5 separate regions of the Mus musculus genome follow, and all the other regions are reported to be linked to region 1. The links are microRNA targets in miRTarBase. Many come from high-throughput screens and were not tested one by one. Region 1 holds a microRNA gene; each other region holds the end of a gene's coding sequence.

Region 1 (4,151 bases):
GTAGGAAAATGAATTTAAGAACCCAGGATAGCATTTACTCTGTCTCCTTTCTTGAAAAAAAATTTCTGGACTGTGTCTATGATCCAAGTGTGTTCTAGAAGCTGGAAATAATATTATGGAACCAACACCTACTCCCTACTCCGACATGAAAAAAGTTAAAAGTGAGCTTATAGGGTCAGAACCCCCCCTGGAAATATGAATCATATGATATATCTAGAATATAATTCTTATAATTTAATGATAAAAAGACAAACAGCCCAGTTTAGAAGTTGCAAAATATGTGAATTTTTTTTTTTTGTCTGAACAAAGTAGCTGTGCAAATGCAGTAAATAGATGAAAAGGTGCGCAACCTCATTAGCCACCAGGGAGAGGCAAATCAAAACCACAGTGAGGCACCGCTTTGTACCTGCTGGGAGAACTACAATCAAAAAGTCAGGCCATATAGCAAGGCTGTGGAGAAAGGAACCCCCAGACCCTGGCGGAGGAAATGTCAAATGGTGGAGCAGCTTTAGTGGAGAGTGTGAGAGTTCTCTAAAGAGACATGGATGTAATGGAACCCCACCATCTACTCTGAGTTACAGAGTCAAGAGAAATGACAGCATCTATCAGCACAGAGCTGGGAATGGCCCTAGAAGCATTTGTAGTTGAGATAGAGCAGAGGTGGGCTGGAGAGGGGGCTGTGTTTAAAAGCACAGACTGTTCTTGCAGAGGTGCCAAGTTTGCTCCCCAGAACCCATGTTGGTGGCTCACAACAACTTGTAAATCTAGCTCTAGGGGGACTCTGTAGCCTCCTTTGCCACCTGCATTCATGTACACACACACACACACACACACACACACACACACACACTTACACATACTTAAAATAAACAATAAAAAATAAATATTTAGGAAAAGTGGAAATAATATGTATTTACATGGCCTAGAGGTCGGGTATAGAAGTCAGGAGTAAATGTGATTAGCATGTAGTTTAGGGATGATTAAAACATTCTTAGATTAACTATGGTGGCTATCAAACAACTTCATGGTAATATTGAAAGCCATTGAGTTTTATCCTTTATGAGTAGGTAAATTGTATAGTCGTGAGTTCTATTTCAAAGAAACAGTTACAATTATTTAAAAAAAATTACTTGTTGTTGTAGGGGGGTCTTTTGTTCAGAGACTTACTCTATAATGCTAGTTGGTCTGGAACCCATAATGCTACCCAGGATGACCTTGAACTCACAGAAATCCTCCTGCCTTAACCTCAAGAGTGCTAGGGTTACAGGAATGCTCCATTTTGCCGAGCTGTTGTTTATATACTTTCAAAAAAAAGCACTAGCATGGGCTCTGCCCCTGTGAAAATATAGTCTTGTTTGGGAGATAGTATTTATCAACAATGACATCAAAGGCTCTATCAATTAGTTTATAACTATGAAGGGAAGGATTGAACATGACACAGGAGAATGGCAGGTATCACTGGGGAACGGAGACGAGGTATTAGTGAGGCTATTACACTCAATGATTCTAACAGATGCCTAAATAGCAGTGGCTTGAAAAGGGGAAGGTCCTGCTCTTGCTGACGTGAAGAAATACAGTTTCAAAGATCATCTAGTGCCATGCCCTGCCCTATCATGGGTGGTGCATGGCCCACATTGCATGGTGTGGGTGCAGCTGTACTGTGCGCTCTGTCTCCATGTAGAACTGGGTCACTCTAGGAAATGGGGCCTTTGTGCCAGGAGTGTGTGTACACGGTGTGTGGGGGGGAGGGGTGGTGGGTTCGGTGAACACAGAAGAGACACAGGGTGACAATCCAGTCATCTCTGCTATTGATGGTCTTGCTGAGGAGGTGATTCAGTAGGTGAGAGCCTCAGGAGGAATAGGCGTTGAGGGCAGTTTTCCAGGCCAGGGGCACATGTATGAGGGCACAGTGGGGACGGAAAGACCATCTGTCATGTTCCTGATTGCTTTTGAGAAAATCTTGCTACGTACTTCAGGCTGCCCTTGGACCAGCAGTCCTCTTGATGCACCTTCTTCTTCGCTGGGATTATGGGGTGGCCTCAAACTGACATTTCTCCTGCTGCAGGCTCATGAATGTTGAGATTACAGGCTTGCACCACATGCCCAGCATGTTTAATGATTGCTTATGAACTTGCCTATCTTGTGTCCCAGATCCTTATGCATCAAGAGTGTCCAGTCTGCAGAGGCCGTGCTTTTGGATTTATCAGAGATTTCTCTTGTGTTTTTACAGGGCTGGCAGGATCTGGCCTGGGAGGAAGGCCTCATCTGGAGAGTCTGTGTGTATCCCCAGCTCTGAGAACTGAATTCCATGGGTTATATCAATGTCAGACCTGTGAAATTCAGTTCTTCAGCTGGGATAGCTCTGTCATCACGGACCTGAAGAACACTGGTTGGAACAAACTCTGAAGGCCTTCATAGTCTGCCAAGGAACTTGAAGAGTGGAGAGAGTGGGGTGAAGCGTGGAACTGCTGGCACCGGAGGGAGTCATGTTGGATTGATGTGTGTTCTAATTTCATTTCTGTTGCTCTGATAAAATATCTTGACAAAAACAATTTAGGGGAGAAAGGGTTTATTAGATTATAATTCCAGGTCACAGCTGATCATTATAGGGAAGACAAAGTAGGAACTTGAAGCAGCTCGTCTCATACATCGTCAAGAAGAAAAAGAGAGCCAAACATTGTGGCACATACCTTCACTCCAAGAAATTTGGAAGCAGAGGCAGGTGGCTCTCTGGTAGGCCAGCCTGATGTACAGAGCAAGTTCCAGGCTAGCCAGAGCTATATAGTGAGATTGTGTCTCAACAAAGAGGAAAAAAATAGAGAAAAAATATATATGCTTACTTGTACTTGACCCCCTCTCTACACTTAAAGAGTCTAGGATCACCTGCCTAGGGAATGATGCTGCCTACAGTGGGCTTGGATCTTCCTATGCCAATTAATATAATCAATATATCCATCCACAGATATACATAGGTCAACCTGATCGAGATGATCCCTCACTAACACTCTTTCTAAATGATCCAAGATTGTGTCAGGTTGACAGTGCTAAGCAATATAGTATGGCAATTCCTCCTCCGGTTGGGAAAAGCGAAGCATCCTATAAATAGCCTCACTGAGTGGTTCTTGCTGCTGTGACTCTTGTTTACATTTCCATGATTTAGGATGAGTCAGGTATGAAGGGGACTAAGTGCTATGCATGCTGTTATAGGAGACTCATGGGAAACACCACTTTAATGAAGCTTGAGAGACACAGGATTGCCAAGCAGTGATTTCCCAGTCTCTTTATGGGACCAGATGGAATTAATTGTATGTGGCAATTATCCTTTAGCATGGTCTGCTGAGGTGTTTGGCTGCTTTTTCAGATATGTAGCAAAAAAGGATAAAGAACACATCCTTCTTATAGCCCCTCATCCCTTTTATTTGAACCTGTGCTTTCTTGCCTACTTTAAGCAAACAAGGGGTAGAGTGTTCTTTTGTACCTCCAAACAAGACAAAAGAAGTTGTAATTACACTCCACTGTAACTGACAGTTTCTTCCAGGGATGAGGATTAAGAAGCCTTAGAAAGTCTATTTGGACATATAGTCTATTAAATGATGGGGCTCAGGTCCTTGTAGAGAGGCAATAAAGACCTCTGTCACCAAGCATGTTGGGTCTCTTCTGAGAGTTGGGCTTGATTTGCTGCTGCTGATTATCTGGACTTTATTAAGCTTTTGAATTAGTGGGGAATTAGGAATGTGCCCTGTGCTTTGGGAACTCCTCTTTGACTCATCACTACGTCTTGGTGTCCTGGGATTTCCTTCTTACTCTTGTCTCTGAATGAAAAGAGAGGGAGGTAGCATGAGATGGGGGACTGTACAGCACCCACATGCTCAGTCTTTCAACTGAGGAACGTAGGTGTTTACTGTGCATCGACTCCTAAATCCAGGGCTTTGCCTATACGATCTCAGTGAATCTTACCAAGCCTCATCTCCATAATATAGACACATCAACAAAAGGATTTTTTCCCCTGTTATTATGATAAAATGGCCTGGCAAAAATAATGGTTGATTTTGGCTCACAGTTCAAGGGTATTGTTCATCATGGAGGAAGTCATAGCATGAGAAGCTTGAGAGCTGCTGGCCACATGACCTCGGCAGACAAGCCGTGGAGAG
Region 2 (4,000 bases), not on the chromosome of region 1:
GTTGAAGTGGGGGAAGTGCCCGGGAGAAGATGGCATTCAGCAGAATTGGACGGCCACCATTGCCAATCAGCAGAGCTTCATGACCACCACTGAGTCTTCTAAAATATTCAGTTCAGATCCGGTGCTGGAAACCTGCCCTTCTGTGTGAACTACTGCTGCAAAGGTGACTATATATCGGGCTTTACTTGACAATTGTAAGCTGGACTGTGGATATCTCAGGACTCTGCCATTTCATGGGGACTGGGCCTAGAAGAGCAGATTTGGTTCTGGGTCCTGAACTGCTGACCAAGTATTACCAAGTACTATCAAGTACTACAAAGTATTACCAAACAGTATCACCCTTCACATTGGTGGCCACAGAAAGGGCTTTGGGACAACCTTTTCTGGCCAGCTGCACAACTGCCCTTCTGAGACTGATAGGGTTTTGATGGCCGGGCTCCCAAACAGTGCCTTTAATGTTAGGCTGGAACATTTTCTCCAGCGGCTCAGCTCCATGCAGCCCTGCTGCAGAGTGGAATGTCAGGAGCTGACAGTATCCATAACTTGGCTGAGTTATAAAGTGAACTCACGTCTAGCAAACTCACCATGTAAAAGTGCAGTGATTATAACACATCAAAGAGATACTAACACAGAGTCTTAGGCCACGTATAGAACATTTTAATTCACAGATCATGTTACCATACATTAGAGCGATGCCTCAGAACACAGTGTAATTCCACAGAGAGATACATATACATATATCCCTGAGCATTAGACCTCATCTGGACATACTCACATGAGGCCTGCGTGATGGTTCTTTGTCTAATAATAGCTTATGAAACAACATCAATCCATCAAGAGGGCAGTCCATGAGCTGAGTTACTGCGGTAAGGAGCTAACTGCTGCTGGGTGTGATTGGTCGCCTGTTTATCTATGCAACCATTAGACTCCAAACTCCAAACAGATCGAAACCTGGGACCTTTTTTTTTTTTTTCAAATAACACCATGAAGCGTCCCTCTTACAAAAACACAGCCCATGATTTTATCATTGAACACATTATAACAGAGACACCAAAGGCTGTAAAATCAGTGTGAGATGTCCTAGCCTCTGAAGTTCTTGAGTAAAACCCCCTTCACAGCATTACTACTCTGCATCAATCAGTCATGGGACACAAGGCATCAGCCTGTAACACTTAACAAATGTCCACTAGATCATCCCCTATTCTCCCAGCAGAGAGCATCTGCTTCACAAAATGAGCACCCAGATTTAACACTGAAAATGTAACCAATGAATGATCTAATCCAAGTTTGATCTTTACTGTGATAATAAAATATTGTAATTCTTTCCTTTAGGAAAGGGAGATTTTTGAATATTTTAAGCACAGAGATCTCACACACCTCCTGTGCATGCACAAGGCGGGGGGTGGGGGGGTACATTTAGAATGGTGGCTCATTTCCCAAGCAGATTCTCATCATGTTCTACTTTAATCAGGGAAAGAGACATGCAGCTTCCCTCAGCCAGGAGAAAATATACTGCAATTCAGAAGGTTGGACCTCAGCTTCATGATTGCTTTCCTCTCATTTGATCAAGTGGGTGTCTGGCCATGTCCTCTGGGATTTCCCAGGTGAACTAAGCACACAGGACTTAACTAAAAAAAAAAATCACAATCTTCAGGGGGAATGTGACTCAAATTTCACATAGAAAAATCTACATAGGAGTTGGTTAATACACACGTGCAATCCCTAGCACTTGAGAGGGTGAGGTTAGGGCAGAGGTATCATGAGTTCCAGGCCAGCCTGGGCTACATAGTTATATTTATACTCAAGCAAAAATAGGTAAAACACACACACACACACACACACACACACTAGAAAACACAGAAAACCCTGACCTATATTTTTCATGAGACAAAGTGTGTCTCAGTTGAATTATAATGACCTAACTAAAGTATGAACATCTTTTGTGAGTAAATACCCCAAATTCCAGTTCCTTAGAAAAATTTTAGTATTAATATAAGCACCAAAAAAAACCCCAAACAAAAGCAAATAAAACAAAGAAGGAACAGAACCAAAATCCACCAAGTCCTAAAAATAGACTCAGAAGCAAAGTTTCTGAGATACTTAATGAGGTCTGACTTCCCGGGGCCCTCTAGCGGCCACAGTGGAACTACAGGGGAGTTCAGTTTCTTGGACAGAACAAAATTTTCCATGGCTTTACTCTTTGATAGGAAATTATTTTCCAAGCAGTGAGGCACTGTCTAGGCTTAATAACCTCATGCAATGCTTCCACAGGAAGATTTTGGCTAGTTCACATTCTGTCTTTTGCCTTTTTGGTGTAAAGAAGGAACTGTTTTTGGTTTTGTTTTTGTTATTTTTGTTTTTTTTTTTTTGTTTTGTTTTGTTTTGTTTTTTTGTTTTTCTCATGTTGACCTAGACTAGGTCAAGTTTCAGTGTTTCTTGAAAGATATGCTAAGGAACCACAGGCACATTTATACCAAGCCAGCTGCCACATTTTATATTCCTGAAAGACTCCTTCCTGTCTATCCCCCCACGACTCTTCTGGACGTGCCACATGGCCTTGGAGCTTTTCAGAAAAGTGTGACAACCTTTCAGCATGAGAGACTCAAGCAGCCTCAATGCCAGGGCAGTTGCAGCTGCAGAAGTGGCATCCTCATGGCCACACCCTGGGAGGTAAAGTGTACCTTGGCTTTGTCAAGAACCCTGAAGGAATTGCTGCAGTATAAAGCAGCCATCTTGAAGCAGCAGCATCAGAGGCTGGGACCATGAACAAACAGCCTGTTCTAGGAAATAACTCCTTCCATAAGAGTAAGATTCTAACTTAAGGCTCTATGAGATATGCCTTGATTCTACACTTTTGAGTAAAAAGTCCAATATTCCAAAGCAGAAAAGCATTAGAATAGTCAGCAGTAATTGGAGGGTGTGTTTTGTGAAGTTTCCTGTTGACAAAATTGGCATAGTTAGCAAAAAATAACCCAGTTTCTCAAGGGGAACAAAAAGGAAAAAGGAAATGTGGGATTCACAGTAAAATCCACACAAAAATTCAAATATAAATGAAATGCTGGTTCTTAGGGGTCACTGGACCTTGCTCCTCTGAGAACCGAACTCTCTCCTGTGGAGGACGATTATCTGCTGCATAATTTTACTCCCTTTTTAGTTCAGTCAAACTGAAAGAAAAATAAACAGACTGTATTCTAATAACAACAGTCCGTAGATAGCCAGAAGATGTAGCTTGTTGAAGGATAGCTGGGCGTGAATGTCCCTGTAGCTGGTCGGAGTTTCCTTCCCATCTCAGCCTCACCAGTCCAGCTTCAGGTCAGCTTTACTCCACACATACTTTCCGCCACGCTTCAGAAACATCTTCTCATCAAATCCACTGAACTTTATTGCTTCTTCCACGCCAACATCCAGAATAGACTTGGAAGGGTCCTTCCGGCCACCGGTACAGTTCAGAAAGCGCATCTGGGAAAAGCAAGGTAGAAATAAGTATGCTTCCATATGGTTTATCCTGTAAAACTCAATGGAGGGTATCCTATCAAAAGTATTTCCGACATCCCAAGCATGGTCTATGTTTACTGAGATCTAAAATCAGATTCCATGCCCAACTCACATGACGAACACCCATGCCGAGGGTGACTTGAACATTTGTAGGGGCCGAGTGTCATGAACAGTACAGTCTTACGGCCCAAGGACTTGATGCTTTCTTGGAGTGGAGAGGACATTAAGAACAGACTTTCTCTAAGTGTGGGCATCGGAATTTGTTAGACATGTGCACTAAGGTAACTGAGAGCACAGAGCAGAGCGGCTGCTGCCCTGTGTTGTGCAGAAGCTCAGTTGAATGACCTCAGTAAAATGGCAGCTGTGTGTGATGTGAATCCTCACCCAGGCTTTTCCTGGAAGGAATAGGGACAAGACAGAGGCTACCGAGGGGAGCAAGGGCTGGGTCAAGAACAGAAGTTCCCCCAACACATCCTATCCTCATAGACTTCCTCTGATTCTTTCC
Region 3 (4,000 bases), not on the chromosome of region 1:
CGTGCTCTACCATCACGCCACACATTTCCAGCACTTTTATCTGAAGTGTTTCCTTTTATTTGTGCATGTTGTGTTGGGCCCTGGCTTTGTTCTGCATTTTCCCATGGCACACTTCTTCCAAGTTCCAGCCCCTGGAAGAGAAGGGTGCTGAAGCCTTTCCTGCACACCGAGGGTCTTTCCCTCTATGCCTGTTAGTGTTTGTTGGCCTGGTTGAGTCCTGGCTGGACCTCTGGCTTGTAGATTGCTGCACTGCCAGCATTTGACAGAGGCTAGTACAGAAAAGGTATCAGTAGCCGTCCACACAACCCAAGCTGTCACAGACACTATGTCATTTGAAGCCTATCCCCTCCTTAAGCGACAACAAAGATGGATATTTGAATATTCTCAATTAAGGGTCAAGCAAGGCAAATGGGACTGAGAAGACTGAAGACAAAAGATGTGTCAAATACCTGGGCAAAAGGGGGTGGTGGTGCTCTCTTTCCAACTCCTGAAAGACACCTCTGCTCAGCACACTAGTTTCCAGGTTCCTGGGTTAGGATTTGGGTGAGATTGGTCGGCGATGGTTTGGTTCCTCCATTCTGCTGCTTCTCCCTGATACATTGAGTTACAGCAGCCCACGCGTACACACTCTCGCACATGCGTGCACACACGTGCACATGCACACACACATACACACATACACACACACACAAGCGTGCATGTGCACATGCGTGCATGCACACATACACACAGGCACACACGTGCAACACAGCATGTGCAGGCATGCACACACAGACACACACACAGACACACACACATTTGTGCCCTGGGACAGCCCAATGGCTTCATACTTTGGGAGCGCTGAGGGGCTGATAGCTCAGCTTGGGTTAGGACTGAGTAGGCTCTTCTGGATGATCATCACTGGAGACCCAGAACCTTTTAGACATCCAGACATCCAGTATCCCAGGTTGGATCCACTCATCAGAACTGACCCAGTGCTAGCTTTGCCAGTGGAGAGAAAGGCAAGGAAATGGCTTGAGCAGGCCCTGAATCTACTTCTCTACCCACTCACAGAGTCAAAAAACCAACAGGGGTCAGAGTTCACCCCTCCCCCCCCACCTCTTCCCCCCCCCCTTCCCCAGAGGTGATAGCCTGCAGCAAAGGATCCTGGGAAGAAGAAGAAACTCTCTGAGCTGATTGAGACTGGTTATGGCTCTTGGGAAGGCGGGGGTCCTCTGTAGCTTCTGTCAATGCCTTTCGGGTCCTCTCTGGTGGGAAGGGGCTATGATGAAGGTCAGGTATTGGAAAGGGTTAGTGTTCCCTGAGTCAGGGCTAAGGCTCTGGTTGGACAAGGAAGGGAGGAAGAAATGACTGGCGTCAGGTTGAGTACTCTGAGAAGGATTCCTTTCCTGCTGACTGGTGACTGCAAGCACAGAGGTAGCCTGCAGGTCATAAGGAATCCTCATTCTGGCTCTTTGTGGGTGTGGTTAGCTTACTGCTTTGATTGTGGACCAATCACTCTTGGGGTTCCTTTTTTATTGAGCTCTAAGCCTTACCCCTGTCTAGAAGCTAAGCTTTCTGCTCTTTTCTTCTTCCCTATGAGCATCTTTAAGTTTTCTAGTTCAAGTTTAGGGCCCACTGTTAACCCATGGCTTTTCTTTAATATCATTTCTTTATTATTATTTATATGAGCACACCATAGCTGTCTTCAGACACACCAGAAGAGTGCACCAGATCCCATTAACAGATGGTTGTGAGTCACCATGTGGTTGCTGGGAATTGAACTCAGGACTTCTAGAAGAGCAGCCAGTGCTCTTAACCTCTGAGCCATCTTTCCAGCTCTAACCCATGGCTTGTTCCTGGATGTCCCTTACCTGTAGGTTAGGGTTGGGTTGCTAATAAAGAATTTCCAGGAAGAGTGTAAGAGGTGGGCCTTCCACTGCTCAAAGCTCAGACTGCAGAAAAGGTTGATAGCCTCCCAGGGGCAATGACACCCTTTCTGCTTGAGCTTCCCCCCCCCCCTCTCAGGATGTAGTCATGGCTATCCTTTCCTTTCATTGCTGCTACCTCCCCAGCTCTTGCACTAGGAGAGCTGGACTGTTGGTGTGCTGAGTCCCCATCAGGTGACACACTTGTCCTCATCACTTAACCAGCTGCTGCCAGAACAGGAGGAAGAGCCCTGCAGGAGCTTTTGAGCAGGCTTTTCTCTCAGGAGACCTGGATCCCTAGTTGGTCTCATTTAGGGTCATCCAAGGGTCAGGATCTCAGGGTCCTTGCTCAGGCCCTGGAAAAGAGATCTTCAACAACTCTATCTCTTTTGTTTGGCTATGAGAAGAGAAGCAAGTCCATTGGAAGGGAAGAGGACGTTGGAAGCCATGCTGTGTTCTGGATTCAAGGACCAGAGTCGTTGATAAAAATAGATATTTTATTCCTCAGAGGAAGATACTACATTGGTGGGGGCGAGGAGCCACTAATAGCTACAGTGGAAGGAAATACTGATCCGGTGGGCAAGGGCGCCTATGAGAAGCTGGGTAAAAGAGAAAAAAGGTCGGATAACAAAAGGACTGGCGAGCAGAACAGAGGAGCAGTGAGGTGGGGTGAGGGTGGTCTCTGCAACCCAGGCTGGAACCCAGCACAATAAATAGTTTTATTTACATAACCGAACGCGTGGCTCTGCGGCCACATTTCGGTGCAAATTATTTACACAGTGATGAGGAGGCAGGACAGGAAGGGGTGGGAGGAGGCTGAGGGAGGCATGGTTCACAGCTGTTCAATGGCTCCGAGGCAGAGACAAGGAGAATGTAGGGTTTTGCTGCTGGGTCCAGCAACCTCCTTTCCCACTTAGCTTTCCGTGCCCTTTCAACTCGGAAACTCTTCAGCTACAGGTGGGAGGGGAAAGGCCTTGAAGCCCAGAGGTGCTGGTTAGAGAACTCAAGGGACCTATAGGGACCCGAGAGACAAGGAAAGGTGATAATACCCAAAGAGGTCACAGCGCAAAATACATCAGGAACCGCAACACCTTCAAGAGTTGACCTCCCCACCCCCACCCCAGAAGAAGAATCTTTCTCTCACCCTCTGGCCAAATTGGGGGGCAGTGCAAAAGGAGTCTCCCTCAAAGAGGGAGGGAGGTAGGCTGGGTCAGGGCCCTCAGGATGGCAAAAGGGTTCGAGCCGACTCAGGCAAGTGGTTTCAGGAGTCCCCAGGTAGGAGGTGGGAGAGATGGATCGCTATGAACCCTGGGACTGTGGCTGGACGCGGTAGGGTGGGCAAACATCAGGACCAGCGAGTGTGTCTGAGAACTGGAAGAGAGCGTTCCCGTTCCCGGAGGCGCGGCACCTCATAGACACTCGTGCAGAACGCGCGTGTGCGTGCAGTTGCGGCAGCTGACGTGGCAGCACCAGTGGAAGGTGCAGTTGCAGCGCTCCGTGACGCGCTGCGTGCGCGTGCGGTGGCCTCGGCCACAGCACAGCAGCTCACAGCCGTCCAGCGCGGGAGACGAGCTGTTGCAAGCTCGTCCAGCTGTGCCAGCTGTGCCCAGGCGGCCACTGTACGTGCAGAAGTTGGGCGATTTCTCGAAGTAGACGAGGTCGTGAGGGGAGGGAGGCTTGTGCGCGGGGTCTTCGGGCTCCAGGCGCAGCAGCTCCGCCCGCGAGGCGCGGTTGCTGCCTCGGTTGCCGTAAAGGACGCGGGAGGCGCCGTCGAAGCGGTCGCGCAGCACGTCGCCCACAGCGCGCAGCGTGGGCAGCCGCATCCAACACGTGCGCACCGTGCAGGAGCCGGACATCCCGTGGCATTTGCACTCTTGGCGCATCTCAGAGAACACGGTCTGGGGGAGGAGGGGACGAGGGGAGGAGGGAAGAAAAGGTCAAAGCCAACATCCCACGAACCACCACCCATACTTCCCCACCCCCACCCCACCCGGGTCACGTCGATGCTGTGGAAACTTCAGCCAAGGTCCAGGTGTGACTAAGCTCGGGAGAGAGGAAGTGCAAAATGGCCCGCTGAGATAGGGACATTCGGC
Region 4 (4,000 bases), not on the chromosome of region 1:
CTTGGTTTCCTTTAAAGGTTTCAATATGTTACAAGGTTATCCATAAAGCAAGAGGGGGAGGGGCAGGGAGGGAAAAGAAAAAGGCAAAGGACCAGATAATGTATCAGTCTACAGTCCTGGCCAGATTCTGGTCTACATTTCCAGAAAGCAGGAGGCCTTCTATTAATTGCACATCACACAGGGATTCTTTAGTTCCTGTTCTCTGCAGACCCTTGCTTTCTTCCCATAAAGACTGGGACACAGAGATGTCCCACAAGACCCCTCTTCAGTCAAACCGAATAGAGAGGTGCAATAGTTATAGTGGCAAGCACAAAAATACAAACATGCATGCACACATGCATATCACACACATGTACATGCATGTGTATATAAGCTGAAAAGCTGCTCCTGGGTGAGAGGGTGAGCCTTTTTGATTCATCTCTGGGATGTTACAATAGCAACACACTCTCAAACAATTAAGTCGCATGCATAATGCCAAAAGAATGTGAGCAATCCTGTGACCAGCTTTAAGCCATCTGCTTGATTCTCTCTCTCTTTTTGAAGGAACATATATAGGAGAAGAGAATTCCACTTTTGTTCCAATACATATAGAGCTCTATTGAGGTTTCCCAACAGTTTGGGTTTGGTTTAAAAAAAAAAAAAAAGTCTGTTCTTCTGTTATTTGAACACATAACTGCCCTAAGCTGTCTCTTGTGGCTTCAACTAAAAATATTTCTCTACATGAATTAGCTGAAGGACAACTGAAACCTCTTACCAATATACAAGTAACATTTTATTTTATATTCTATCTTCCATTGGCATAAGCCTTTCAATGTTCTTTTTTTTAACCAGTGAAATATACAAATCACACAAGACAGAAATATGTACATTAAAAGTACAGAATAAAGGCCATAGGGGATATACAAAATATCTGAAGGATGCGTAGAATATCTTACATTAAATAGGTTTTTTTTAAAGCTAGGATTGTTAAACTCCACTCTGCTCATAAACATGAATCACTAAAAACAAAAACAAAAAAAGAACATAATCTGATTTAACAAATAAGAGAGAGAGAGAGAGAGAGAGAGAACTTCATGGTTTTTGTAGAATAAAAACCAAAAAGTGACATTTTAAACTAAATTAGTGCTTTTTTTCAACATCTTTTGCTTGCAATTCATTGTAGCTGAGGGGAAATGAATATTGTTGGGCAATAAGTTAAGAGCCACAGGACTGAGGTGACCAGAAGGCTACCAAGCCCATGAATGGATACACACATTTTTTTTCAAACCTTGTAAGAGTATCAGGCCTCGAAAACAACACAGCAGATGTCACTTTTGAAACAGAGGTGCCCTTATTTTAAAACATTGTTTAAACTAGCTATCTATGTGGTGAGCTGGTTTGCTTCGGGAACTCAGATCCGTCCTGTCAGACAGGACAGTCCCAAGTCCTCCCTGGGAAAGGAGTGAAGCAAACAGACAGGAGGCTGGTGATCCTGGGTTCTGGGAGCCTCTCGAAGTCCAGGGCTGCGACAAACCACAGTGCCCTCCCCACAAAGAACACCAAAGAGAGGGTGGAGAACTGGCCATGGGCAGGAAGCAGAAAGGCTACTTTCTAACCAACATACATTCAGGACATGAGCCCTGAGAGCTTCCTCCGAGTCTTAGCTTGCTTCCTGGTATTCGTGGTAGGATCCTGTCACAGGTCAATGTTAAGACTCAAAATTTTTGGAAAAAAAGAAATCCCAATTGGACTGCAATGAAGGACGATACTCCAGGCAGAGAGCAAGCCCAGAGAAAACTGTAGGTCTAAATCCCAGACTGCACTGAGATATAATTATATCTATATTTATATATGTATATTTATATATATGTTATATACAAAAAAACTGAGATATCAGGCACCATTAAACCACATCCCCCCTTATAAATGCAACTGTTCAAGTACACTAGGAACAGTTTTAGGGTACACCTGCAGGGTAATAGGAAAAGCACAAATGGAAAGTCTAAACGCAGGAGGATAACAACCAAACAGCTGCAACACCTCTGTGGACTCCCTGGGCCAAGAGATATCATCAAAACACATCAAGTTACCGTACCTCCAAAGAAAAGCCTCAGAGAACAACCCCTAAGTGGCTGGTTCTGAACATGGCTCCTCGTGTACATTTTCTGCCCTACCAGCAGTGAGTGTCCACCAGGGCTGCCATTCGGAAGCATGGCCAGCAGAGAGTCCAGAAAGGGCATGGGATCATGCAGGAAGATGGCTGCCATCATCTCCTCACAGAGGTGTTCGCAGTGCTCAACTACATGGGACTTTCTTGTTGCCTGTGGGGGTGAGGGGTTGCAAATGGGATTCATGGGTAATTTTTCATTTTTAAGAAAATAAGATGGCTTTCAAAACAAGATTTTTTTTTTTTAGTCAAAAATTCCTTTATGGATCTAAAAGTCTGGTATTAAGAATCAGCTGGGCTAACACAAGATTATGGCCTCAATGTAGGAAACTTCAAGTTTTCTAATTTCTGGGGACCTCCCTCCCCCAGCCCACCGGCTCCCCAATATTCATGAACTGTTAGAAAAAGGCCCATTCATGAATGGAGTATCTGTAGGTGGGACACAGTAACATACATGATATGCCTGCTTCTGAAGATATGAGATTCTTGCTTGTACCTTCTAAAAGATCATTCTAGAAATACACACACACACACACCAAAAATACAAACAAACAAACAAACAAACAAAACCCAAAAAAAGAAAAAACAAAACAAAACAAAAAACCCACAAAACCAGGCTGGTAACCTCTGGGTTAGGGAGTGTCTCATATTCTGTATTTTTGGCATATATGTATATTTAATATATCTATATTTAAGATCTTTTGTACCAGAGCACCTGCAATTCATTTTGGTCACAGGAACTGTTATTCATGGGTCTGTACCTCCTCCTTCACCTGGATACCACCCATCTCAAAGGACTCTCTGTTTGAGAAGAAAATGGCTCCTACACCTTCTAGATGTGAACCCCCAACTGCACAGCTAAGTTCGAATACATAGTTTTTCCCCTTTATCCTGTAGCATCAGAAGAAAGAAATTTTGTACTAACTTTGCAAAGATCCTCAAAATAAATATTTTTCTTAGTTTCCCCCACTATTGCCAAATATTAATTATAATATTAATAATAAACCACAGAGTTCTTAGATGGTAACAGAAAAGAAAAAACAAAATAAAACAAAACAAAACACATGGTTCCAGCTGCAATTCTTGGGGGAGAAATAAAAAGAACCAGAAGCACTGTACTTTCTATAAATAAGTGGGTCCTGGGAGTGGGACTGGGTGAAGGGCAGGCACACCACTATTTGCACACGAACTGATCCACAATCTCCGTGCACTTCTTGCATTTGACATAGCAGCACCAGTGAAACTTGCAATGACAGCGTTCGGTCTGCACTGTCTTAAACTGGTCATAGCCACGCCCACAGCACATGAGCTCGCAGCCGTCCATCCCCTCTGAGGTCTTGTTGCACAGGCGTCCCTGCGTGCCCAGCGAGCCAGTGCTCTCGTTGCGCACACAGTAGTCCGGACTGGGGTCGATGTAGACCAGGTCCTGCGTGGTCGGGGAGTTGAAGCGGCTGTTGACCTGCACCAGCTTGCCCCGGCTGTTGAGCCTCATGGCCGCCGCGCTATCATACTTCTCCTTGAGGGCATCGCCCACCTTCCGGAAGTCCGCCAGCTGCAGCCAGCACGTCTTGAGGCTACAGGAGCCAGACACTCCATGACACTTACAGGCTACATCTGCCAGGTTGTATACTGTCTGTAGGAAGAAAGGGGGAAGGTTATTGTACTGATCCCTGGAGGAGGCGAGATGCAGGCATGGGCCTAGTACACACTTTGTAGAGGCAGCCATGTCCCTTGGCTGAATTCAAGGCTGTGTTACATCTTCATTTCCCACCACTAGAAATATTGTATTGCCTTCTTTGAAACTCTGCAACTTCTTAGTCTTTATCATTCTGTCCACCACTATCACATTCAGAT
Region 5 (4,000 bases), not on the chromosome of region 1:
GAGAAGTACCAAAGTCGGTACTCCCCTCCTACAGCACAGACTCTGTTTTCAGGCCAATGTGTGGGCTTCTGGGGGTTTGAGCTACAATATTAAACTTCGTGCACTAAGTGTGGAATATATAGGCTGTACAACATCTGCCCCATGTTAATGGAAACACGAGAAACAAACAGTTCTCAACACCACTTCGTTAAAAAGCCATCTGAAATTTACATGCAAGTTCCTAGGTAATTTAGATTCTAGGCTTGAACTCTTCCCTTCAATGACATCCCAAAAAATTTTTTTTAAATTAAAAAAAAAAACCTTCTAATTTTTACAGCTTGGTTGTGGTTCTTGGAAAACATCAGTTGAAAACTTCATTGGTATTTTTCTGGTAAAACGGCATTTTTTTTCCTTTTATCCCTTTCTGCTAGTGATCCAACAGACACCTTGTTCTGTTTTTACTCTGGCATCTATCCCTGCTGTCCTTTAAATATCTCCTTTTCTCCCCCTCCGTAGGTGACTCTGATTCCGACACATGACTCCGAGGTGATGAGGGAGTGGTACCAGGAGACCCACGAGAAGCAGCAGGACCTCAACATCATGGTCTTAGCAAGCAGCAGTACAGTGGTCATGCAAGACGAGTCCTTCCCCGCATGCAAGATAGAACTGTAGAGACCGCAGCCGGCCACACCACAGGATTTGAACTGTGTTTCCAGAAATTCTTGAATTTGAAACTACCTTTTCTAAAACGTCCATTCATCCAATTAAGTCACTGAACAGTTATTACCTGCCAGATGCTATACTATGTCATGGTGATGCAAGTCACTGATAGTTCTCAATTTTTGCTGACTGCTAAGGGAAGTAACCATATTCCCACAATAGATTTCGAGTTACTGCAAAATTGCCTACCCCCGTTCATCTCTGCTGAACATTCGGAAGCCATGCACTCACGCACCCAACTGACTTCTGCTAGGTATTGGCATTTATCATAGAGAGAGAAAGAGAGGGAAAGAGAGTCAGCGGGAGGGGAGGGAGAGAGGCGGGAGAGAGGGACAAAGAGACTGCAGGAGAGAGAGAGAGAGTGAGAGGGGAAGAATCAGAAAGAAAAAGAATGCAAGAGACAAAGGTAGAGAGTTCTGATGAGATGCCCAGGGAGAGAGAGTGGGCAAGATGGGGTATAGAGAAGACACCAGCAACCAGGTCTGCATTTTCTCAGACCACAGCTATTCTGTGGTCTACACAGGTGGAGTTTCCCATTTTCATCAGAGTCATCAGAAAGAGTCTTATTCTCCTAAAGCGTGTTTCTAAAGAACAAAAAGAATGAAGCCTGTTACGAGGGCATGAGCTTTTTCACGCCTTAATTCAATGCCTTTGCTATTATAAAGGCTGCACACGGCATAATGTAGCAAGTGTAGACTGGATGAGTGAGTGGTTTGCGCCCCATTCAGAACTCTCAGACTTTTCGAACACGTGAGTAGGTTGATCTAAGGCATGCTCCCAGCATTTGTCTACCCAAGTCCACACCAAGTCAAGCTGCATGCAGCAACACCCAAGTCCACCCCGGTTAACTGAAGCAAATACCAAAGCAGGTGGGAGTACACATGGGAGACATTTTGCCTTAGGAAGTGACTTGAATGTACAAAGACACCTGATGCACTTATTTTTTAATGTGAGACAGCAAGTTTTTAAACCATCCATGTAGGATTGTAGATACTCCAGGGAAAGGAGCGTGTGGGGAGGGAAGGTACCAGAAGCTCATCTGATTGGCCCAACGGTTTAGTGCAGAGTCATGCTTGGTGAACATCACCACTTCTGATGTACCCGTGGCCACTCAACCAAATCCGTTGCACCTTTCGTAGCTTCTTTAATTCTTCAAGTTCAAGACCGGAATGGCTTCTTTGATCAGAACCAGGAAAACAGTGAATCTTATGGTGGAAGAGCTCTCAGCAAGTGTACAGCATCTGCCTTCCTTTGTCTTGCATTGGCTATTTTAATTTTCCATTAATTTCAACACATGGGAACACATGTACAGAAGATTTTTTTTTTTTTTTTTTTTTTTTTTAGCTACTCGAGAACTTTTCATAGATGAACTTTTTAACAAATGTTTTCATTTACAGGAAAACGCAAAGAAAATTTTGAAACGATGGTCTTTCTTTTTAATTATTATTTTAAGTGTTTTTTGTAAGACAAAAATTGAAGTTTTTTTAAGGTTCTGGCAAGATTTGAAGTCTGATATTGAAGTCATGATATTTATTTTTAAAAACCTGTCACTACCAGAAACGGTGGTACCTCCTGCCCTTTGACTCTCATACCGTGAAAGTTGAGTCCGTGCTGTTTGAGAGTGGGTAGGTGGCGGGGTAGGCTACTGTCCGGGGCATCACCCAGTGCTATCCCCTCCTCCTTTCAAGATTATTCACCATGAGGTAAAAGAGCCAAGTTCAGAAGTACCCTAGCACCCAGTTTGCTTGGGTTGGTTTTTTGTTTTTGTTTTTCCTGGAAAACATTCAGTGAGAGAAGTAATAGATTGAAAACAAATGAATTCTCAACTTCTATGTTGACCATGTAGAGAGTTCAGACATAATGTCTGTCGATGTCATCACTGAACCACAGACTTGCGCCGCCAGATCGCGAGGAAAACTGTCGCCAAGTTTCAAGTGGCAGATTCACGTCCCAGGGTTCAGAGGTGGCAAACTTCTCAGTGGCAGCTGTGCTCGGTCATGCTACGTTTCCTGCAGACTCTTAAGATCTACGGGGTAGTGAACAATGACCTCATTTTATTTTCTATGTTAGTTATTTATTTCAAAATTTACATTTTAGTTTATTTTCGTCTGTAAAGCGTATGTTTCGCACTGCTCTTTTACTCTGAGGGTTTAAACAATATTTCTCCAGGGGTTTCCTCACTGAGAACCCATGCAGTCTACTTAATGCTGTGAATCACATTTTCCAAATGTTTAATTTTTTAAAGAAAATTAATATTCTATTTTTGTTAGGTGTCTCTAGGAATGCAGCTTTTTTATTTATTATCCTGTTTCTTTCAAAACCCGTAACAGTGACACGTTAAAGGTACAAAACTGTCCTATCTGATGGAAAAGTCATCCTGATGAAAACAGAGTTCGTTGCCTGTAAGCCCACTTGCTTCTCACTTCATCAGACAAGCTCAATACACACAAGATAGTAATTTAATGGGAGCTGTTAGGCTGGTCCACACGTGAAGAGAAACAATTTCTAGCCTTCTTGCCAAATCCAGACCTCTGGTTGACTTTTCTTTCATAGAAGATGGAGTTATCTTCCAGTTTTCCAACTTAAATTTATTTAGCCTTTATATTATTTTGTTTTAATATATATATATAAATACCTTAGAAGAGCCATAGCCAGCCTTCAGTTATAACCACTCGACCCCCATACCTCTTATTGTTTCTACAGAATCTAATGGGGAAAAATGCTTCACAAAACTGTCACTGATCCATTGGCTCTGATTCCTACACAATCTGGCAGGCACCCTCCTGCACCCCTGTCCTCAGTGATGGCCACGGAGCCGAGCCGAGGACACCAGGGTGAAGTACATTTGCTTTACAAGGGGCTCCTGACCTCCCAGGCACCTCTCCTACCTGTGTGGCTAATCTGATCTTGCTAGTTCCATACATACACAATTAGTTTAGAGGTAGCCACCACAATGGGACCGTGTACATTTGTGGTGAAAGCTAAAAACCGACACAGACTTCTAGAAGATTTGTGCATACGATTCTTAATCCAATTGTATAGATTGAATATTTGAGTGGAAGGCATTTCCACCCTGTTTAAATGATGGAATTCTATTGAGCTAGCACTCCTGATCATGACCTTTTTAGTAGTATTTGTAAACAAAATTCTACAGAGACTAAATCTTAGCGATAATCCTCCATTTCAATTTTAACCAATTCTGTCCTCTTTTTCCAAACCCCGAACCCCATGCATGCTTTCTCAGTCTTGTGATGGGACTGGACACAGTGACCGACCCCTCGCCCAAACACCATTTTCCATG

What was found. Region 1 holds the annotated microRNA mmu-miR-146a-5p (UGAGAACUGAAUUCCAUGGGUU, at 2,294-2,315, shown strand). A microRNA usually pairs through its seed, bases 2 to 8, with sites in the 3' UTR of a target mRNA and lowers its output. Matches are read on the target gene's strand: a 7mer-m8 pairs with bases 2 to 8, a 7mer-A1 pairs with bases 2 to 7 and ends in A, and an 8mer does both.
Region 2: the mRNA of Rsad2 is a reported target of mmu-miR-146a-5p. Seed matches in the 3' UTR shown: 7mer-A1 at 3,092-3,098.
Region 3: miRTarBase lists Wnt1 as a target of mmu-miR-146a-5p. Seed matches in the 3' UTR shown: 8mer at 3,273-3,280 and 7mer-m8 at 2,905-2,911.
Region 4: the mRNA of Wnt5a is a reported target of mmu-miR-146a-5p. Seed matches in the 3' UTR shown: 7mer-m8 at 1,553-1,559 and 7mer-m8 at 1,065-1,071.
Region 5: the mRNA of Map1b is a reported target of mmu-miR-146a-5p. Seed matches in the 3' UTR shown: 8mer at 810-817.

The regions. Positions count from the first base shown.
Region 1 is chr11:43,372,599-43,376,749 of GRCm38, reverse strand. It overlaps Mir146 (microRNA 146), which reads left to right and starts at 2,289; the gene lies at 2,289-2,353.
Region 2 is chr12:26,442,112-26,446,111 of GRCm38, forward strand. Rsad2 (radical S-adenosyl methionine domain containing 2) reads right to left here. Exons shown (of 6, transcript NM_021384.4): 6 at 632-3,459. The coding sequence ends at 3,295. Among named protein-coding and RNA genes, the nearest start is that of Rsad2, 12 kb to the right of the region's middle.
Region 3 is chr15:98,792,221-98,796,220 of GRCm38, reverse strand. Wnt1 (wingless-type MMTV integration site family, member 1) reads right to left here. Exons shown (of 4, transcript NM_021279.4): 4 at 2,391-3,805. The coding sequence ends at 3,317. Among named protein-coding and RNA genes, the nearest start is that of Wnt1, 4.4 kb to the right of the region's middle.
Region 4 is chr14:28,522,261-28,526,260 of GRCm38, reverse strand. It overlaps Wnt5a (wingless-type MMTV integration site family, member 5A), which reads right to left. Exons shown (of 5, transcript NM_009524.4): 5 at 1-3,779. The coding sequence ends at 3,321. Among named protein-coding and RNA genes, the nearest start is that of Wnt5a, 19 kb to the right of the region's middle.
Region 5 is chr13:99,422,457-99,426,456 of GRCm38, reverse strand. Map1b (microtubule-associated protein 1B) reads left to right here. Exons shown (of 7, transcript NM_008634.2): 7 at 496-4,000. The coding sequence ends at 651. Among named protein-coding and RNA genes, the nearest start is that of 6430562O15Rik, 12 kb to the right of the region's middle.